3 linked regions of the Mytilus edulis genome follow. The protein of the gene in region 1 purifies or fractionates together with the protein of each later gene. This does not show direct contact. Links are inferred from orthologs where the notes say so. Each region holds a gene or a part of one and is shown in the gene's direction. Other genes may lie near its edges.

Region 1 (6,978 bases):
AAATAAGTATTTTAAATATAATTTATATAAAATCAAGGAAAATTTACATGGCGATTATAATACTCTTTACCCTTTCGAGGTTATGAAAAACTATATGTTTTAATATTTTTAATTAAATCTTTATAAATTTATTTCAAAACCAGTATTTCTCGTGTTGCTTTAGTTAATGCAATCTTATATTTATCGTAGTTTTGTACCTTCTTCATATATCAACAAGGTATGAAACGAGATGATTTAAACGCTTACGCCTTATTGTGGTTGTGCAAGTTCTCAAATTCCATGCAAGACAGATTATCGGTTTTTATGTATACCACCACTTCTAAGACAAATCTTTAAAACATACACAGTGTTAAAAACATTTGTATGATATATTAATTTAACTATCAATAATGAACTTTTGACGAGGTAAAAATGAAGTTACATGTTGACCTGTTCAGCTTATATTGACTGGGGACAAAGTCCGAGGGTCAATAGATTCTATCCTTATATAACATAGCCAGTACGATACGAAAATGCAATTTACCACTTTTGTCGGTAAAAGATAGAAACTAAAAACTGAGTAGGTTGCAAAAATGTGTAAAACAGAATTACATAAATATTAAGTATTTTCCTAAAACTTATTTTCATATGGTAGATACTAACTACTAAATATATCAAGTATAAAACAGATTACAAAGTACTGATGAATATCTACTTAGTATGGGATGAGGCGACTTGAAATGTCTTTCATTATAACCGTTATGAGCTTTATCAAATACATATAGTGCTTTATCAAAACTATATTTTGTTATTGTGAAATGTATATTGTTAATAAAATGTCAAAGACGTAAACATTTTTTAAACCAAAATATATGACCAATACATCACATTTTAATTCTAAACTAATACTGCTGTTTCATCGAAATAACGATTATTTCATAATTTGACTGACTAAAAATATAATTTAAAAGAAGTAAAAACAAAAATGAGAAGAAACCAAAGGGATATCCAAAGTCGAAAACATACTAAACAACGCTGTGACAAACACATAATAAACAACGCTGTGACAAAAACATACTAAACAACGCTGTGACAAAAACATACTAAACAACGCTGTGACAAAAACATACTAAACAACGCTGTGACAAAAACATACTAAACAACGCTGTGACAAAAACATACTAAACAACGCTGTGACAAAAACATACTAAACAACGCTGTGACAAAAACATACTAAACAATGCTGTGACAAAAACATACTAAACAACGCTGTGACAAAAACATACTAAACAACGCTGTGACAAAAACATACTAAACAACGCTGTGACAAAAACATACTAAACAACGCTGTGACAAAAACATACTAAACAACGCTGTGACAAAAACATACTAAACAACGCTGTGACAAAAACGAAAAACAACCAATAGACAAACAACAGTAAAAAATACATCACTGGGCAACAAGAACCCAGCTAAACATCGAGATTGATCAGGTGCTCCGCAAAAATAAACAGATTCTGCATCACTAGTGGTACCAGTCTTATTGCTCGTGTAAGTACAAATCCGCGGCGATGAGTCGTCGAAGAAAAGAGAAAACAATCATTTTCATTAGTATTCGCAACACAATACACAAGAAACTGAAATCTCCACTCAAACTGAGAAACGATTTATAATCATTTATCAATTCCAACTCCTCTAAACGCGCTTCTTGCGTTGACACAGAAAATTATGATAACCCGTGTAGTAAGACAAAGTTCATGGTTATTTCTGCATTGTTTTTTAGAAGACATTATTTAGTGTCTGGTTCATTTTTCATTTTGACCAATGAAATGTGTTGAGAGTAACTATTATCTCAAATGAAAATGGAAATGTTAAGTCAGATCCAACTAAAACATATTTGTAAGTATCCAATACACTGCCATGCAACGTTTGGATTGCTTGTCATTTGCTTAACGTCTAGTTGCAAACATTAATGCATATCTATACAAAGGTATACATGAAGAGTATTATGGAGAATAATAAATACAACAGCGATACAAAGATATGCTTACTTGTTCAAGGTGTACAATGCATCTTTTAAAATGGAAGGCCCCTAAAATATGAGGGTTGGAGGATAAACATTGAAAATTAGTAAAATATGTAACCAAACAATTCACGATCTTTCCAGGGCATCCTCTCATACAATGATTGTTAATTGAGATAAGTATACAATAGAAACTCAATAAAGCGAATCCATGTACTAAATGTCATCGTACAGTCTTCAACAACGAGCAAAATTCATATCATAGTCCCCGACATGAAAAAAATAAAGAAAAAAATCAAAAAAATAAACCAACAGACTATGACCAAAACAATCAACAAAACACTAATATTACAGACAGCAAACAACGACAACCACTAAGTTTCAAATTCCTGACTTGTAATTGATTGAGTGATTGTTGCTGTTTTAGCTCCACTTTTTAGTGCCACGTTTGTTCTGTTTCGAGACTGTCAGTTTTATTGGTGGCGGAAGCTTCAGTGCTCGTAGAAAACCACCGAACTTCGATAGGAAAACTGACAGACAATCCTAGTCAATTAAGATTGAGGCCAAGTGCACCCGCATGAACGGTGTTCGAACTCACAACTTCAGTGTTGACTGGCTTGTGATTACAGTAGGTGAGCTACTTGGACCACTTGGCCACCGAGGCCCCTCCTGACTTGTGATAATCACCTATAAAATTGGCGGGCTTAAACATGTTTTTGAGCGTTCTACCTTGGATAGCGATGTAAATGCCACATAAGCACATAATTGAAAATTCAATTAAAGAAATGAGGTTATGTTAAATGTTAAAATTCACAACAAGCAGAAAGCACAATCATTAGCACAACACAAGGAATGTAGCCAATGAGCAGGTATAATAAACCAGTTAACATAGATTAATTAAAAATTAAATTAAAACTATATAGGAAAAAAAAAGAAAGCACGAACAGAATTCAGCTATGATACAGCATTTGGTATTTACAGACAGCAGAAACAATTTTGCCCACCATACCATCTAGAAATTAAAAGTTAATTTTCAAACAAGATGGACGAGGCTTCATTTTGCAGCCTATTCTTAAGTAGTGCTGCCTCATACCTGAAAGAATTCTTATGATACTTTGTAATTTCTATGTCTTGTCTCAGAAATTTCCCCCTATGCATCTTAATAATATATTGAGGTATATAGGAATTTTTTTTCTGAGACAAGTGCCTGTGCTTGTTATGTCTCTCATGGCGCACATCTAAAACAATTGAATTGCATGTTTATTTTATTTTTAAAATTTTATTTCAACCTCTTTTTTCTAAAAAATAAATATATAAATAAAAAAAAGACGATATAGATGTATAGCCTCTAAAGCTCTTTTTGATTTACCTAACAAAATATGAAAGCCAAAAACTACATAAACGACTATAAGGAACTACTGATATGTGTGATGAATTAATACCTGTCTATATATATGATATGAAGTTTCCTATGAATTTCACGGTTAAGTTTTGTTTTATGCCACAAGTATCATTTTATTTATACGACAAAAAAGAATTAATATTTAATGAAAATATGTATCTATTCAATGTATGCTATGAAATCAAAGTTTTCATGATATACTAATTCTTAAAGAAAAATATTTTCTCTTTTTATAATTTTTCTTATTAGCGAGTTTACAAATAAAAACTGAGTAGAAAAATTAGGGAAAATAAATGTCCTGTGTGTATACCTTGTCGGTCGCAGCTGGATAACTCAGACTAAAACAAGTAGTCCGAGTTTGTTATAGTCCGATATTGTGAGACCAAACTATATTTGGGCCGAGTTTGATATGTTCCGAGTTAAGTATGTATGGTCCGAGATGTCTAGAAGTCTTGTCGGTTACCTCCCTTGTGGCGCTTGGTTTAAAAACAAGTCACGTGATTTTTGACTGGGGGAAATTTGAAACAACAAACAACTGTAACTTGTAAAAAGCATATAACGAAGATCATTTTAAGTATCATTGAGCGATGCCACCACAGTAAGAGATATACCATTAAGGGGAATATGTTCAATGAAGTTGATTAACCTTTTTATGTGTAAAAAGTTCAATTTCAATGCAACACCATCGAAGTTCTTCATGTTATAATTTTCCGCTAGGAAATCATTTCTGTCGCAATTTACCCAGTTCAAAAGACCTTTATCATTGAAAAATAGGCAGCTCCGATATTTCGATTCCCGATTTTTCAAGACAACGGAGGCAGTGGATAAAACAGTTCTGGAGAGATGCAAAAAAAGGGGGGGGGGGTTTAAACAGTCAACACGAAATTAACTTTACAGGTGTAACTAGAGAGCATGAATTCCATTTACAAAATTGCTGGATTCCAACCCAGGACCTTTGTGTTACAAGGCAGCTCGTTAACTTACTGAGTTAAAGAAGTAATTCCTAAAGCTAAGCTCAAATTCTTACTACTGACTAACTTGCATTGAGACTAAAGTTCTAAGGGGGAGCAATCCTGTCAAACTTCCCCCCACCCCAAGAGTCAGTATACTCTTTAATGATGAGATCTTCATTTACATGTATATATATATGGGGGAAGTTTTACAGGATTGCTTCCCCTTAGAACTCTTAGAATTCTGAAGCTAGTCAATAGTAAGAATTTGAGCTTAGGAATTACTTCTTTAACTCAGTCAGTTAACGAGCTACCTTGTAACACAAAGCCAGGGAAATATATATTTATACAGTACCTGGCCAAAAGTATTCGTCGCCTGCATTTTTTTGCTATTTATTTCATACAAAAACACATTTTTTCAAAAAAACATTTCGAGGGCATTTATGGTTGGATTTTTATCAACAAGGCCTTAAAAGACGTGGAATCGTCTAAAGCATGTTTGTTTTTTTGATAATTGCTTAGTTTTCAGGTGTTTTTGCTTTCTCTTGATGTGAACACATACAAGATTTTTTTATTATTTAATTTGGTTGAATATATTGCGAAATTTCTGATCAGAAATTAATATTTGTGTTTATCTTGTGAAAAAATTAAAATGATCCACACAAAATATATAACCAAATAAACAAATAAACCTGTGACAATTCTGCTTCTATTGGTACCAAATTGTTTAAAATCAAACCAAAAATGACCCCAAACTATGTTTTTGAAAAAATTTAGTTTTATATACAATACATGTAACGTGACGGTACCCAAATTGCACCTATTTTGACAGTTTATTTAACTACGTTTTTTTATGATCAAGACAAAAATTTCCATTTTGTGTTTATTTTGTAGCCGTATCCTTCTTTATTATATAGGTACACCAATTTGATTTTCAATCCATATGAAATCATAGAAAAATTGGTCTGAACTAACCTCCAAACCATCAATGATTATGTATTGAGGAGTACCCAAATTGCATCCATGCTTACATTTGCATCGTCAAAAGTCAAATAACAGAGCTTTTGTTTAATTTTTTCAAATATTTTGAACAATTGGATATTTGTCCATGCTTACTCTTCATTTTTTAAGAAATGGGTACTTGAAACATATTATATTTGGTAATTTTAAAAAGATGACGTCGCATGGCGATGTTTCGGTACATTTTGCTTTTTCAGTAAACACTTCATCTGTCGATAAATACTGTGAACGTTTTGTGTATATCTAAATATGTTTACCGATGATGAAAGACGTGCATAGTATCAAATCATACAAATACAAATTGTTTAGTCTCTAGGAAATCTTGTAAGATTTCCGCTGCTATTTTTGCTAAATAGGTGCAATTTGGGTACTCGGTGCAATTTGGGTACCGTTACGTTATATATAGCGAAAAATCTCATGTGACGAATACTTATGGCCACACTCTGTATATACTGTATATATTTCCCTGGCTAGGTAATTCTGCCCATGACAAAAAAATGTACCATGTCAAGTTATTTTTTCAATTGGCCAAAAAAAATAAAAATTTTACCTTGTCAAAATAAAAAAAGATGTGTGTTTCCTATAACGGTTACCACCCTATTATATAAGCTCAAAAATAGACTACCCTAAAGTTTTTTTTTTGTCATTTTTCAATAAGCACTGTTAAAGTTAGAATGTCCCTCCCATAGACTAAATGTAAAGAAAAAAGGTTAAATTAAAAATAAAATCCCTTCCTACCTACCCTATTTGCATATTTTTTTTTGGCCCTACATAAAAATAGGAATTGGAAAAGTGCAAACAAACAATATTTTGATTTAAGCTGAACCATGCCAGAGAGCATGAATTTCATAACAAACTACTTGTTTCCATCAGGATTCGAAACCAAGGACCTTTGTGTTACAAGGCAGCCTGTTAACCAACTGAGCTAAAGAAGTACTTTCTTTAATAGCTCAACCGCTTACGGCTGACTACGTATCAACTACATTTTCTAAGGGAAGCAAAGCTACTGAACATTTGACTGGGCCCCTGGAGTGAAATTGTAAAACATGGAATTTATAATTTAGAAAAGACATCTTGCAGCTGGTATTTTGAGAAAAAAAAGAAACTTTAATAGTTGATTTACTGTAAATTGTTCTCTGAAATTATTTCCTATTTAAAAAAATGATTAATACTAGACTTACACTTATTGTAATATTAACAAATAATTATATTTTTCAGACGAGGAAAAACCCCCAGGAAGAATAAAAATGGATCTGGATCTCAGACAGAACCTGTTGAGGTGAGGACAAATCCTAATGATCACATTCATAAATATGAAAAAAGAATGTGTGTGTTTACGGGTCTTAGCCAAAATTTATGGATATACATGTATATGAAGAACAAAATTTATAATAAATTGCCATTGAATCTGGTCCTGATCAAGGCTTCCAAAACGGTCATATATTCCGGTCATTTGTATAATGTCCGGTAAAAGTCCGGCTGGGCAAAGCATGAAACGGTCATATACTTTTTAGTTTTCAAGGCTTTTTCGGTCATTTATACATAATTCACGATCTTTTTGACCCAACCTTTTGCCTTTAACATCAACACATTTCCGGTCATAA
Region 2 (7,231 bases), about 28 Mb from region 1:
TATATTTAACATGTTTGGTGATGTTATACGCTTTTGTTAGTGTCTTATTAATGTCTTTAGATATTGTATAATTCTCCTTATGAGCTCATTTAATGGAAATAAAACTTCTTCTTCTTTTATATAAAGTGATTTCTTAAAGCTATATATTTGGGGGACTTCGTTTGGCTAACTGTAGAAGCGTCGGTCATGTCTTCATTGTTTATTCTTTAATTTGAAGGCATTCTTTATCTTAATATTAATCTCCATATTCGTTATACATAAGCACTCCATTATTCTCTTTTCTGTAGTTTAAATATAAAAAATAAGAAGATGCGATATGCTTGCCAATGAGACAACTCTCAAAAAGAGACCAAAATGACACAGAAATTAACAGCTAAAATGCCACCGTACGACCTTCAGCCTTGAATGAGTAAAACCCGTGCCATAAATTAAAAAGCCCCGAAATGACTAATATATTTAAAAATTCAAACGAGAAAACTAAAAGGCCGGCCTGATTTATGTTCAAAATGGTGTAGAATTGGTTACATTTTGGAACAAGTTTATTTAATGGATCAATAGGTTTACCCAGATCGTATCCAAACTTCCAAGATCGGTAAACAACATCTCCGTAAAAAAAGGATGTGCTATTCCGTTAAAAAATAAGTTTTCTACATGCAGGTGCAACCAAACTTCCAAACCAAATCTTTATACCTATGGAACAATTTAGTATTTTTTAAAGTAATTTGTTGTTACGAAATTCCTGACTTAATGATTGTGCGGATCCGATCATTTTAAAACGGGAGGTCCAAACGCAGGTTAGAGTGGGTTGTTCCAACCACATGTCCCCATTCAAATGCATTGATCGTAAAAAAAAAAGGAGGGATTCAACCCCCAGAACCACTCCCTTTTGGATCCGCCACTACAGTATTACAAAGATTATGTTCATTGACATTGAAATCCAAAACCTAACAGCAGAGGTACCAAAGTAACATCATCTTATAACATAGGGGAAATCGTCTCTTTTCTCGGAAATTTTAGTGTTGAGTTTCCTATGAAAAACTGAAATATCTTAATCTAGGAAATGCATGACAGTTATAATCGTTTACATTTGATATACATGTAATTCAAGTAAGTTCCTTTGGGTAAAATTCGCCGTTACTGCATTTCGAAAATTCTTGAATTTAACAAAGAATATCATCAAGATAACGATATATCTGTTGTTGAATTAATCAATTAAATGTAATTTAGACGGCTCTTCACTTGGTTTAACAACAAACTTTGATTCATATCTGTATAAGAACAAGTCTGCTATCAAAGGGGCGAAATTGGTGCCCATGGGATACCTACAACCTGTCGATAAACTTTATTTAGAGATGTAATACTAGTATGAAAGGTTTCTGTAATTAGGATCATGTATAGCAAAATCATATAAACAATGCAACTACTAGTATATAGTAAAGTTCAAGAAAACAATGCGTCGGTTTATTATCGCCACAGAACTCTTGGAATAATAAAGCAAAAGCAAAATCTCTTCAGTTGAATAGACATGCGCTAACTACAGATTGAGACTTTTTAAGATATCCTTTTTTTTAAAACTTCTTTTAGAGGGAACCAGATCGAGAAACTTTCAGGACATTTGGAAGTGTCGATTATAATTGATGTTTTATACTCGCAGGTAAAGAATAATTCTGAAACAATGTTGAAGTGAAATCAATGCAAACCATGCTTCGGTCAAATCATTTTGAATGACCTGAACAGATAAAAAATAAGTATTGGTAAGACAACCAATGGCAAGTTCGAGTCGCTATTTTATATATAGCATAATACCATACCTTGTTAGGCGAACCTTGTTTTTCAAGCAGTTATATAGCCCCCCCCCCCCCCCCAACCACCACCACCACCACCACCACCACCACCACCACCACCACCACCACCAAACAAGAAAAAAACCAACGAATATGGCGTATCCATCCATGACACAAAATCAGTACATGCAATTAAGACTGCTCATCTAAATAATGACAACTTTGTGTTTTATCTTCATATTATTTATGTTTGTATTATTCAAACTAAACATAAAAGGGGAAGGGATAATTAGAAACTGAATATAACAATTTTAACAGGAATTTATAATATTAAATTTTTCTATTGGTTTTCGGTAACTTCAGTAAACGAGTCCCGTGACCCCAATTTTCCTCTCAAGTTTTCTGAAAGCACTGGCATTTTTAAAAGACACTTTCATATTATATTTTTTTTAAATCCGATATTTTTTTTCTTTCTGTCGGTTAAAACTTCTCATTAGAGCTTATGTTTGTCTCTGTTGTATACCTTGCCGACTCAAAATAAAGCTTATTTATTATTATTCTAAAACACATATTGTCTTTGATATTACCTGGACAATCGGAATATTATTTCCCGGATTTAACCCAAAACATTGACCTATTAACGTCACTAACTGATATTTGAATTATTCGAATAGACCTTTATTCGATATATATGTTTATTCCAAAATTTTTCAGCCAACTGATTTAAATTCACACTTTGATTATCCCGAGACTATCTTAGTATCTATGATTTGATACTAGTATATGTAATTCGTTACACGTAAGTTGGAGATCTATCCTAAACCGAGGATTAGGGTAGTCTGTGAAGCCTAGACTTAGACGATCTTAGACCCTGTTCACACTAGCAATTTTTTTTATCGATCTAATTTGAATCGATCTAAATAAAACCAGTTAGCGTTCACATTATCTTTAATCATATCGATCTCTATCGGTCTAATATGGACCACTGCGTTCACACTACAATTAAAAACGCAATCGATCTAACCTTTTTGCCCGTAAAACTGTAAACCATGTGTATAAATAGAACTGATTTATCAAATTCATGTGCTGATACACTGATACACACACTTGGAGAAAAAAATTTGGATAAAGTTATTGTTTCTATTGAATCACAATTTAAAATTTTGATACTAGTGTTATTGCAGTTTTCTTTAATTTTGAAAAAAAAAATAACTGTAGCAACGAAGCTACAACACGATGCCTGAAATACTGCGGTTCCTGCAAAGAAAAAAAATTCAACATAAGAAAAGAAGATACAGATTTCGCAAATCTATGCTATGGCGAAGACAACATGTTTACAGTTTGTTTTAAAGGTCTTTTAACAGAGAAATATGAGTTAAACAACGAACCTCTGAGATAGTTTTGCCGCTATACATGCGCATACGTTATTTTCGATTCAATCGTACTAATTTAAACCGATCTCTGCGTTCACATCTAAAATAAGATCGGTTTACTTAAGATCGATTCAAACTAAACTACCTCTTTTGGTGTTTTAGTTTAGACCGATTGAAGATCGATTCAATGTGTTCACATTAGCCCTTAAACCGATCTTAAGTGAACCGGTCTAGTTTAAATTGATAAAAATGTCCTAGTGTGAACGGGGTCTAACAACACAATGATCTACAAATCGTTGCCTAAACTGGGGGTATAAATTGATCTAAACTCTGTGACCCCGGCTTAAACCAGGGTGAAAGTCCCTGCTTTTCCAAAGATTGTCGAAAACAACATTTTAAGCTCTCTGATACTTTAGTATAGAAAGTCCCTGTACAGACTTAAGTTACAGACGGGGAAATATAACGATGAGGGTGGGTTTTTTTTAACGACCTTGACTACACATGAGGGTCTTGCAGGTGGCACGGTAGTATTTGCATTCCAGAATTTAGGTTGCCGTCTTTATCTAAACAGTGTGATTGGACAAAAAATCATGACAGTATCAACTGAACATACTTTCCCAAACTGAGGGATGAATCGGGTGTAGAAAAATATGAAATAATTTTACATACAGATAAAAATGATTTTTTGAGAATTTTTGAGAATTTTTTATTCACTGCACCATTAAAGACCTAAAAGTACTAGTGGCCTTAGGTTTTTAAAAATAGCAAAAATTGTAAACGGTCATGATACATATTCAAATTCATTTCTGAATAGTAAAATGAAAGTACTTCAGTTAACTCTCAATGTAGAATTTTTTGCAGTGTTAGAAAGTGGTGAAAATTCTAAAAAGGCTATCATTATCCCTTATGGGCCAGGAAATACTACCGTGCCACCTGCACGAAGTATCGGGTTTAAATAGAGTGTGATTGCATTACAATCTTTGACTTCCTCGAAAATCATTCATGTGTAAAATTGATCAATGACTTCATCTGCTCCACATCACGCCCAAACTCTCGTGAGAATTTGCGTGTTCAGATTCAAATAGTGTATTATTCCGCATTTTGATTTCTTTGGTTCTGGGCTCAGTTTCCGATAATCTTGTATTTGACTATTATTTTGCAAGTGTCTGTAGCATTATAAGAGCGCTTTCTTTTCGCACTTACAGAAATTAAGGCCGAAATTATGGACTATTTTATACGCCATTTTGCGGAAGTTTTGACCACCGCCATGGGTGATAATACCGCTTACAGAAATGGAACTTGACAGAAAATTATTACAATTTTCTTCTGTTATATGTTGTTGTTCAAAGTCCAATTAATACAACGAAATACTATTTTGTGAATGTAAACAAGTTAGATCCCTTCTAAGTGTCAAACGAGCCCTCTACTCTGAAAAAAACACCTGTAAACATTGAGGTAGGTGGAGACCAATATAAAATGACACCGGTGACTTTCTCGTTCATCTAAATGACATTACACTTCCATTTACACTTAAATTAGTAATTGAAGGGCAGGGATTGAATGATGTTATCATGCTTAAAAGAAACAATGTAACGACAGATCTGTACTAAATAATTGATTCTGTTGATATAATGAATATTTACTGAAAATAAATACTTGTGTATTACACATATTTTCCTAGACTAAAGACTACAATATTTATAAAATATAAAATAACTTTACACTTGAAACAGTTACCCACAGTCTCTTAATGGACATATTTCGTGTGATATGAAGAAATTGAGGAACTCGTGATTTAAATGAACGTTTATTAATTTACTGAATCTGGGTCCGTTCGCGCCCATTCACGTTCGTGCCCTTTCACTTTCGCACCCTTCAAGCAGTCAATCCCCTATGGGGTTGACCAGAGTGACATTCCCTCACATCATTCAATTTGTTTTTATAGTGTGGAAAACCCCCCAACAAATCTTACTGAGATTGATGAGAAAGAAACACACAAATGAATAGATTGACTTTAAACACTTTTCTACACATTTCCCTTCTGTTTCTAGCGAAATTATCGTATTTTGAGCTCTCTTTTACACTATTTATGTTTCTTTTACAATCCGGAAAAATCAGAAATTTTCTAAATATATCCAACCTACATTATATTTTATAATGACGTCATTGTTGGAATGCCACACTATGCAGAAGCAGGGATATCCTTCACTGGTTATTTAAATCATTCTCAGAGTTCATGCACTAATTATAAATTGTTATTTGTTAAATTTAAACATAATTATGTTTGTTGTAGATGATTCAAACATCAACATGCAATACTTTAATTTGTAGGTCAACAACTTTCAAAGTAAACAAAGTCCATGGAGATACATGAGATTGGGAAGAACGATTTTTAAATTTTTTTCTGTAAAATTCTGTTTTGTGAATCTTCCTCCAAATCAGGAGCACCTCAATTGATGAGTAATTATCCTCTAAAATAAAACTTGAAAATGTGACATTTAGTATATGATTAGTAGTCTTCCATTAAAACTAAATTGTGTGTACCAACAAATAAATCATTGTAATGGTTAAAAATGACGACCAGGATTTTTGGGTGAAATAAATCTTAAATATTAATCAAATTTGGTTAGTGTATTGCTATAATTTTTTATTTAATTGTTTTAGATCAAAGGGGCCAATCTGTTAAAAAACAATTATCTTTTGTGTTTTTCGTTTAAAATTTTTAATGTTTTACTCATACGAAGCTAAATACATGCAATATTTACATCATGGCAATTTAAAACAACAATCATGATTTTCTAATCATTCAACTGGAACTTGATTTTAAATAGACAGCTTTCGAGTTCGATGCATTTCCGTCAAAAACTCCGGTTTTAGTGAACGTCATTTGTGCGTTTAGGGGCGTCATCACTTCCGTTTTAATGTTGAGCGAGTGGTTGGAAAACTATAATTCTATATTGTACGAATTATTCAGCAAATTAAATTCTCAAAACTAACAATCAGCACAGCACTGCTGTCATTAGGGAATTGTCATTAAGTACCTACAGAACAACCATTATTTCTAGTTTATCCTGCACAACGACAATCACTAAGACGCTTGATGAACGTAAATTGTGCAGGGATACAGGCGATCCCCTCTATCTGGTAAATGACGTCATAAAGGCGCGCATAATTGACGAGTTTTTGCCGGTGACGGATGAACTCGAAAGTGGTCTATTGGGTGCGAACGGACCTTGGGTGCGAACGTGCGTGGTGCGAACATGTAGGGTGCGAAAGTGTATTGGGCGCGAACGAACCTGATACCCTAAACCAGTAAGACATGTACAAGAATTCTATATATTTATCTTATTTCTGTGGCAAAGTCAACAAAATATTAATGATCATATTTTTCCATCCCCAATTGATTGGTATTTTTATCTCTTAACCATGTTAACCTTTCCACCATATGTACAGGGCACGTTTACTGGTCCTTTTTACGTTATTTTATTTTATCAGTTATTTTTACCTTCGTCTTTTTTTATCTAACCCATATTTTAATAAACTTTTAAAAATTTAAAATAAATCTTTGATTTATCCACTTTTGTTAATACTTCCGATTACCCAGTAAGGGGTGTTCCTAAGATGGAAGCTTATACATAAGAAAGAAAAGAAAGAAAGAAGGTGATTGGCCATGCTGTCAAATCATTAATTATCATTGTTATCACATTTTGATCAGTTTCCATTTGAAGCTTATTGAATCATTTACCCATCTAGAATTGAATTTCTGTGTACATGTGAACATTGAAATGAGTTTTACTTTTTATTTTAAATTATTTATACATTTTTCCTGAAACTCTCTGGTGCCATTTTGGGATATGACTGCTCGCTGAAACCCTTATCAACAGATCAAGAAGTCCTATTTTCTCTGTTCAGGAAATTTTTTCTAATTTATATTGTACATCACCTATAGGCTATAGCACCCCTCCTTTAACCCACAGCATATAAGAATTGAATACAAGACCTGTCAGCCTTTTAGAATCAATTTAACATTTTGTAAGTAGTTGTACCTTAAAGTTATATCAGGGTTATCCTTAA
Region 3 (7,595 bases), on another chromosome or scaffold:
TCAATCCTGGTTGTTTAAACAGACAAGACATAACAGCCTGTGCACTTTTCATGTAATTTTTACCCAGAGAAGTGAAGGAAGATTCTTTTCTACAGCACCATCAAAGAGTCCTCACCTGAAGACACAATCACATTAAATGGGTCAATATCATTTTGTTTATTGTGTTGTTGGTTTGTTGTTCTATTGACACATATCTCCTGTTCATATCTTCACATCAAATTATTTTCAAAACATAGAATCTCTAATTAAATTCATATTCACAATTTTATAACTTCTTTCCAATAGATCAATTTGGCAAATATTTTTTTTATAAACAATTTATTTTCTTAGTCATAATGTTGGATCTATAAAAATGTGGAAATAAATAAAATATATTTTTTATATAAATTAAAACATGATTCATTGTTATATTATAATTATATACTTATTTTGTGTTAATATTCCTCTGTTTCTTTATCTATATACTTTAATTGACAATCAAATTGTCTTTGAAAATTTTCTAAAAATGGTTTTACAGCATCATTTATATTAATATCACAGCCCTTTTCTTTACTAAGAGACGTCACATCTTTTCCTTTTAATCCACAAGGTACTATATGTTTGAACCAGTTCAAATCAGTATTACAGTTCAAAGATACACCATGAGTTGTTACATATCTGCGACCATGAACACCTACAATATAATAATAATTGATAAAATATAAACAAATTATATTTGAGCATTGAGTTTAATGCTACAAAATTTACGAATTGTTTCTAGCACTCATTAATACACAAAAGAAAATCACACAGACTAGTAAACTCACAAAAAACTGGTACAATTCATTAATAATGGATGGATTGTTGTTTAATGTCCAGTGGCAAATTAAATGCATATTTGTAGAGTACCGGTACTAATTGAGAAATTCGTATGACGTTATGAAACATAAATTGTAGCTCAAAAATAAATATATTCATGAAATTTTAACTTCTGTAAACATGATAAAAAAAAATTTTTTAATCAAAAGTATACAAAACAAATAAAGTGTTTGATCATTCATTCCTGCATCAATTTTTAGTAATTTTCAACTGTGCAAAACATCAAAATGAATGTCTTTCACAAATAATGATCAATAATGGTTATAAAACCAAAAGTAAAACTTTTATTTTTGCTTAACATTAGCCATGATAGTGTATCTTGATGAATAGCTAATATTGATGGTAAAAAAGACCTTTCAGACTTACCAATAGCTCCAATTTTCCTATCTCCAATCCATACTCCTGTATCTTCTGTTGTATGGGCATTTAGACCATAATATTTACAAGTTCCAATCATTGTCTTTTCCATGGAACAAATATACCACTTCATATTTGGTGTAAAATATTTTAGATTTAAAATTGGATAAGCAACAAGTTGTCCTGGTCCATGATAGGTAATTAAACCACCTCTATCTGTTCGGCAAAATTCAGCACCTAGCTTTTTAAGTTTTTGTTCGTATTCTTCCGAATAGTCTTTAGATCTAATTCCAATGGTATAAACTGGGTTATGCTCTACAAGTAATACAACATTTTCTCCATTTGAACCGTGTACTCCTGCCATACTGTCTAAATGCTGTCGTGCAAATTTGGTCTGTACCTTATAAGCATCAAGGAATCCCATTTTTCCAAGATTTAATACACTCACAATCTTGCTGTAAGAGCTCATCATGACATTTGTCTGTAATGGAAAAAGCTCACATGTATTTTGATAATCATTAATGACATTATTCTAATACCGTAACTTGAAAAAAGATTGACGAATTGATATAATTTAATCTAACGTAATCAAGCTGTACCTTCTCCATTAGCTATTTTTCTACATTTTGTCAATAGCCTGACAGGTCATACATTTGAGGGTGGTAATGGGGATACTTTCATGACGATAAACGGTAAAAATGCTTGCCAAATGACGTTATTTGTAGTTTTTAGTGCGTGACAATAAAATGTACACTTGGTTTAGAGGATAAACCAGATGCTCCCCAGGGTGCAGCTTTATACAACCTCAGAGGTTGAAACCTGAACGGTTGGGCCAAGTATGGACACAACATTCAAGCTGGATTCAGCTCTAAATTAGATTGTGATTAAATAGTTGACACAGCATAGGTTTCTGACACAGAATGAATGTGGTCTAATGAACTTAAAATTTTTGTTTTGCCTTTGAGCAATTCACTTTGCCCCCCCCCCCCCCCCCCCCCCCCCCAATTTTTTTTGTTCACATCCCCCTTTCCTTTATTCCAAAACCAATCTCAATTCAAATTTCTAATGGAGTTTGCAAGAATAACTACTCATTTAAGTACATCACAGTCTTCACGCTGAACTGCTACATCTACAGGCCCGCAGCTCAATTTTAGAATTTTTTTTTTTTTTTTTTTTTTTAAATAATATCTTTATTGCACTTTTCTTTGCTGTTGTTACAAATTACTCGACCTACAGCGGAAATTTTTAGTTAGATTCTGTTGGCCTGTAGGTCTGATTTTTACAGGCCCAAGAGCAATTTCACCAGCCTGGGCTGCCCAGGCTGCCACTCGGCGTGAAGACTAACATCATAAAATATTAAAAAAAAAGTGCTTGTTATCACTGAATGGTAAAGATTGTTTTAATTTATCAGTTGATAGTAAAAGTGAATATACATTGTATATTGTATAAAACAATGATTTAAGTTGATTCAACTACTATTCTGGACAAAGAAAGATAACTCTAATTGAAATTTCTTGCTATTGCGCAATACTGTGCAATTAGATATTTCTTGCTATTGCGCAATACTGTGCAATTGAAAATACTTGCTAATGCACAATACTGTGCAATTGAAGATTTCTTGCTATTGCGCAATACTGTGAAATTGAAAATTTCTTGCTATTGCACAATCCTGTGCAATAATTGCCTCAGTACTGTGAAATTGAAAATTTCTTGCTATTGCACAATACTTAATATAATAATTTTGGATTCTGATTTGGACCAACTTGAAAACTGGGCCCATAATCAAAAATCTAAGTACATGTTTAGATTCAGCATATAAAAAAACCCCAAGAATTCAATTTTTGTTAAAATCAAACTAAGTTTAATTTTGGACCCTTAGGACTTTATAATGTAGACCAATTTGAAAACGGGACCAAAAATTAAGAATCTACATACACAGTTAGATTCGGTATATATATATCAAAGAACCCCAATTATTCATTTTTTGATGAAATCAAACAAAGTTTAATTTTGGACCCTTTGGACCCCTTATTCCTAAACTGTTGGGACCAAAACTCCCACAACCAATCCCAACCTTCCTTTTATGGTCATTAACCTTGTGTTTAAATTTCATAGATATCTATATACTTATACTAAAGTTATGGTGCGATAACCAAGAAAAATGCTTATTTGGGCCCCTTTTTGGCCCCTTATTCCTAAACTGTTTGGACCTCAACTCCCAAAATAATTACCAACCTTCCTTTTGTGGTCATAAACCTTGTGGTGTTTAAATATCATTGATTTCTATTGACTTAAACTAAAGTTATTGTGCGAAAAGTAAGAATAATGCTTTTTTGGGCCCTTTTTTGCCCCTAATTCCTAAACTGTAGGAACCAAAACTCCCAAAATCAATCCCAACCTTCCTTTTGTGGTCATAAACCTTGTGTCAAAATTTCATAGATTTCTATTTACTCAAACTAAAGTTTTAGTGCGAAAACCAAGAAAATGCTTATTTGGGCCCTTTTTGGCCCCTAATTCCTAAAATGTTGGGATCATAACTCCCAAAATCAATCCCAACCTTCCTTTTGTGGTCATAAACCTTGTGTTAAAATTTCATAGATTTCTATTTACTTATACTAAAGTAAGAGTGCGAAAACTAAAAGTATTCGACGCCGACGCCAACATGATACCAATATATGACCAAAAAATTTTCGTTTTGTGGTTGTATAAAAATAGTCTGACTTTGATTAATCTCGTTAAATTATTTCAAAAAATAACAGTAACGGTAATTATTTGAGACCTCTGACAAATCACGATAAGGATATTTTGACGAATCACGTTAAAAATTTTACCAATTTGATGCTTACGGTAGCCGAAAATGACCTTTTGACGCCTGACCCTAAAGGGCATTACTACCCTCAGATATACCCTCATAAATTATTGATTTTAATAGATCAAGTAAATGGTTGTAATTTTAGAGATGATATCCTAATAAATATTTTTTTTTAATTGAGTAGTTAAGATCACTAGTTGATAGCTGGGTCTATAAAATAAAAGAACAGAGATTCAGTGATTTCAGCTTTGCACATATTTATCTGTACATCGTGGATTTTGGATCAGAGAAAAATTAACGGCTAGGCTTGGGTGAAATGGAATTAAACAGAAATTACCAAATCTTCGAATTACCAGTAGGAATGTAATTCAGACGACCAAATTATTGGACCGGATTTGTATTTGTTGACATTTTTCTTGACAGCATGCTACTTCCTGTTTTTGTTTTGAACTATGGGAAATTGTCTTCAAATTCATTAGCCAATCAAAAATGCGGTTTGTTTGAACAGCGCCATTTTCAAGTGTGGAAACAATGTCGGAGTGTAAAACAAAGCCCGACGTACCCTTAGATGATGGCACGTTGTTATAAAACTTAAGTTAAAAAGCCTCATATTATATTCAATGTACCAATGATGTTATTGACGTAGACAAATCAGGGTTGCACTCTTGTCAGACACAACGATCCACAAAAAGCACAACCCACTCTTCTCTTTTTGTTTTCCAGTCTCGAGAACTAAATATAAATATTGTAATACTAGCCACTTTACTCGATTTATAAAAAAAAGATATGATATGAATGTCTGTGTGACCACTTTTCACCGGAAAAGAAAATATGTTGTATCTTCAATAGTGAGCAATGTCAAATCATAGATATAAAAGCCATATAGATAAAGTACTGGACTCACATCAAAAGCAGATATTTTCCGAAATTTTATCACCCTCTTATTAAATACATGTCACGCTTGGTATTAATTAGCCTTAATTAGCCTTTATTGGCAATTGCCGTCTATCGATATCTTGTAAACAGGGGCGGATCCAGGATTTTCGGTTAGTGGGGGCGCAAACTTAAATTTTTTATCGAAATTATTGAAATATTCTTCTAGAGAGGATGCAATTTAGATATCTTGCCAAGCGTGGCGAGAAATAAATATTTTGTGGTAAAATTAGCGTGAAATTGAAGTTTCAAGGTAAACCCGCATAAATCCACCCCTGACAATTTGTAATCACTATAATTAACAAGAAATCTGCGAGCTTCTATTCATTGACTCAATGATAGCTCACCGACCAATATAAGATTTTGAAAACAAGAATTTCTACTTTTGCCAGCGATTTTTAATTGTCTTTTCTTCTATTTCCGGAGGTCGTGTCAAACTTTTTATATACATTTCTACCGCATACAAGTAAAATCAGAATGAGGTCCTTGCGAAGATATGTTTATTTTCGTGGGATCCTATGTAATACGGTAGTACGGGTTGGGGGCGTTCCCCGTTTATGCATGCTTCGGCAAGGTAAACTTTACAGGTTGAAAGTGAGAAACACTAGTATATTGATATCATACAGAGATATTAAACAATGATACGAATCAATAAACGAACCTTTCGCTTGAACCAGCATTCCTATCTTTCATTAAGAAAGAATTTAAACAGGACCGTGCCATAATGAAATAACCAACCCAACCGCGGGTAGGGCACTTTCGACTACTTCGTGGAAAAGTGAGGTAGGGTTGTTTTTGAACTTATCAAAGCAATTGTTTATAAAATCCGCAACTACCATGTCACATTGTTTTACTTGAACTGCTAAAAGCCTATGATATTTTTCACCAAACGCAGTACCGCGATGAAGTATAATATATTTATAGAACTTATAAATAAACCGTAGGTCAGTTTATTAGTAATCACATTGATTCTGTTAAACTTACTGTTTTATATACTTCTTTGAATGTTAAAACAGATGCAATGCGACGAGATTAATATTCGTTGTCTGTTCAGATACTTTATTGAGCTGAGGACAACCCATGCTTTGCAAATTTTAGGGGGGGGCGCATGCCCAACACGCCCCCGCCTAAATCCGCCCCTGGTAAATTGTGAATCGGGGGAGTTATAAGTCATTCTTCGGACAAGTTCGGTAGTTTTGTTATCTTCCTGTACATAATTTTTTGGAATGTTTATATACGTGCTAAAAATTCATGTCGAGGTGATCGATGTATGATTACATTGTTCTTATAAGTCCCTAATATGCATCAAATATTTTCCACTGAACGTTGTGAAATCAAGGATCATATAATAAATCACTGTAATAGAAAATACACACAACTAGTTTCATACCAAATCAAAGACGTTATAAAAATAAAGTACACAAAAAGTATGTTGACAACTAAACGGTCAGACTTGCAGAGGGTTACATTTGTATATAGCCATATTAATAGTACGAATCACACCCTTAACAAAATTCTAAGAAGGATATATATTGTTTACTTCAAAAATGAAATAGACAATCAGTTTAAACCATCCGCTATTTAATTGCAAATCAAGCAAAAAAAAATGTAAGCAGAAAGGTATTATATATAAAAGAAAAAAATCAGAGACATGATAATTGTGCTATTTCCCAATTATTTAATGTATGTCAACCACTAACAATTTCTTCACCAAACGGCGTTTTAAAATTTATAATGTATTCATTTTTTTCTCTGTATTTTTCAACACTTGTAAAAGAAAAAACATTTTGTGTTCTAAAATATAATAATTTCGTTTTTCTGGTCTAAAATGTGATTACACTGTTTTGAAACTTGATAAAAAAAAATTGTCTTTAATAAAACGCATAGAAAAATTTGACCAGGTTTGACCTCTTACCCATGTATACCATCAGTAGTTGATGTGTCTCTTCTTGTCAATCATACAGGTCTTATTTCCCGAGTGCAACCGATGCAAGTGCTATGGCAATTTAATTTTAAGTGCCTGTTCAGTCCATTTTCCATAATTTCTCTATTTTATTATCTCCCCCCCCCCCCCCTCCCCCCTTGCTGCAGATCATAAATGTAAAATGATAAAAACTAACGACCTTTAATTAATGTAAAAAAATGAATGAAAAACAAAAGACACACTGCAACAAACGACAACCACTCAATTACAGAACAGGGATCTCCATGGCCTGTTTAACGATGGCGCCCCGCCATCGTTCAAATGTCTTGCGCCATCGTCAAATGACTTGCTCCATCGTTAAATTGCCTTGCGCCATCGTTAAATTGTCTCCGCCATCGTTCAAAACTTCATCGTATTTTGTAGCCCGACGCCATTTTTTTTATCAATTATAATCAAATGCATGTATTTGCATAACCTTAGGCTTTTTATGTTATAATCCAGTACAGTTCTAACGCCTGGGGGATATCCGGATTAAGATCGCTAATCACTTGTACCTGAGCTTGTACAGGTAGATCAACAAACTAGACAGGAGAATACTATCTGAGGATAGACGATCCATTTGTCGAATTAATCAAATAAGTTTCAGCAAGTGATTATGATGATTTAGATTAAATAAATAAATTCATAATCCAGTTACAAAGAAAACAGTTT

The links.
Region 2: the proteins of kinesin-like protein KIF23 (region 1) and ADP-ribosylation factor 6 purify together in Homo sapiens (affinity purification with western blotting; 3 studies listed by BioGRID and IntAct, with this or other methods). This does not show direct contact. The link is inferred for Mytilus edulis from reciprocal best matches to the Homo sapiens genes KIF23 and ARF6.
Region 3: the proteins of kinesin-like protein KIF23 (region 1) and protein ECT2-like purify together in Homo sapiens (co-immunoprecipitation; 3 studies listed by BioGRID and IntAct, with this or other methods). This does not show direct contact. The link is inferred for Mytilus edulis from reciprocal best matches to the Homo sapiens genes KIF23 and ECT2.

The regions. Positions count from the first base shown.
Region 1 is NC_092350.1:35,585,932-35,592,909, forward strand, and holds the start of kinesin-like protein KIF23, read left to right. Parts: upstream 1-3,866; 5' UTR 3,867-3,991; coding exon 3,992-4,002; intron 4,003-6,592; coding exon 6,593-6,653; intron 6,654-6,978.
Region 2 is NC_092350.1:7,208,244-7,215,474, reverse strand, and holds the start of ADP-ribosylation factor 6, read left to right. Parts: upstream 1-4,212; 5' UTR 4,213-4,612; intron 4,613-7,231. UniProt on the Homo sapiens protein: GTP-binding protein involved in protein trafficking that regulates endocytic recycling and cytoskeleton remodeling. GTP-bound form plays an important role in the transport of multiple palmitoylated proteins form the Golgi to the plasma membrane.
Region 3 is NC_092346.1:78,100,860-78,108,454, forward strand, and holds the start of protein ECT2-like, read left to right. Parts: upstream 1-4,504; 5' UTR 4,505-4,558; coding exon 4,559-4,601; intron 4,602-7,595. Other genes in the region: octanoyl-[acyl-carrier-protein]:protein N-octanoyltransferase LIPT2, mitochondrial-like, read right to left, coding at 435-673, 1,225-1,696, 1,815-1,823. UniProt on the Homo sapiens protein: Guanine nucleotide exchange factor (GEF) that catalyzes the exchange of GDP for GTP. Promotes guanine nucleotide exchange on the Rho family members of small GTPases, like RHOA, RHOC, RAC1 and CDC42.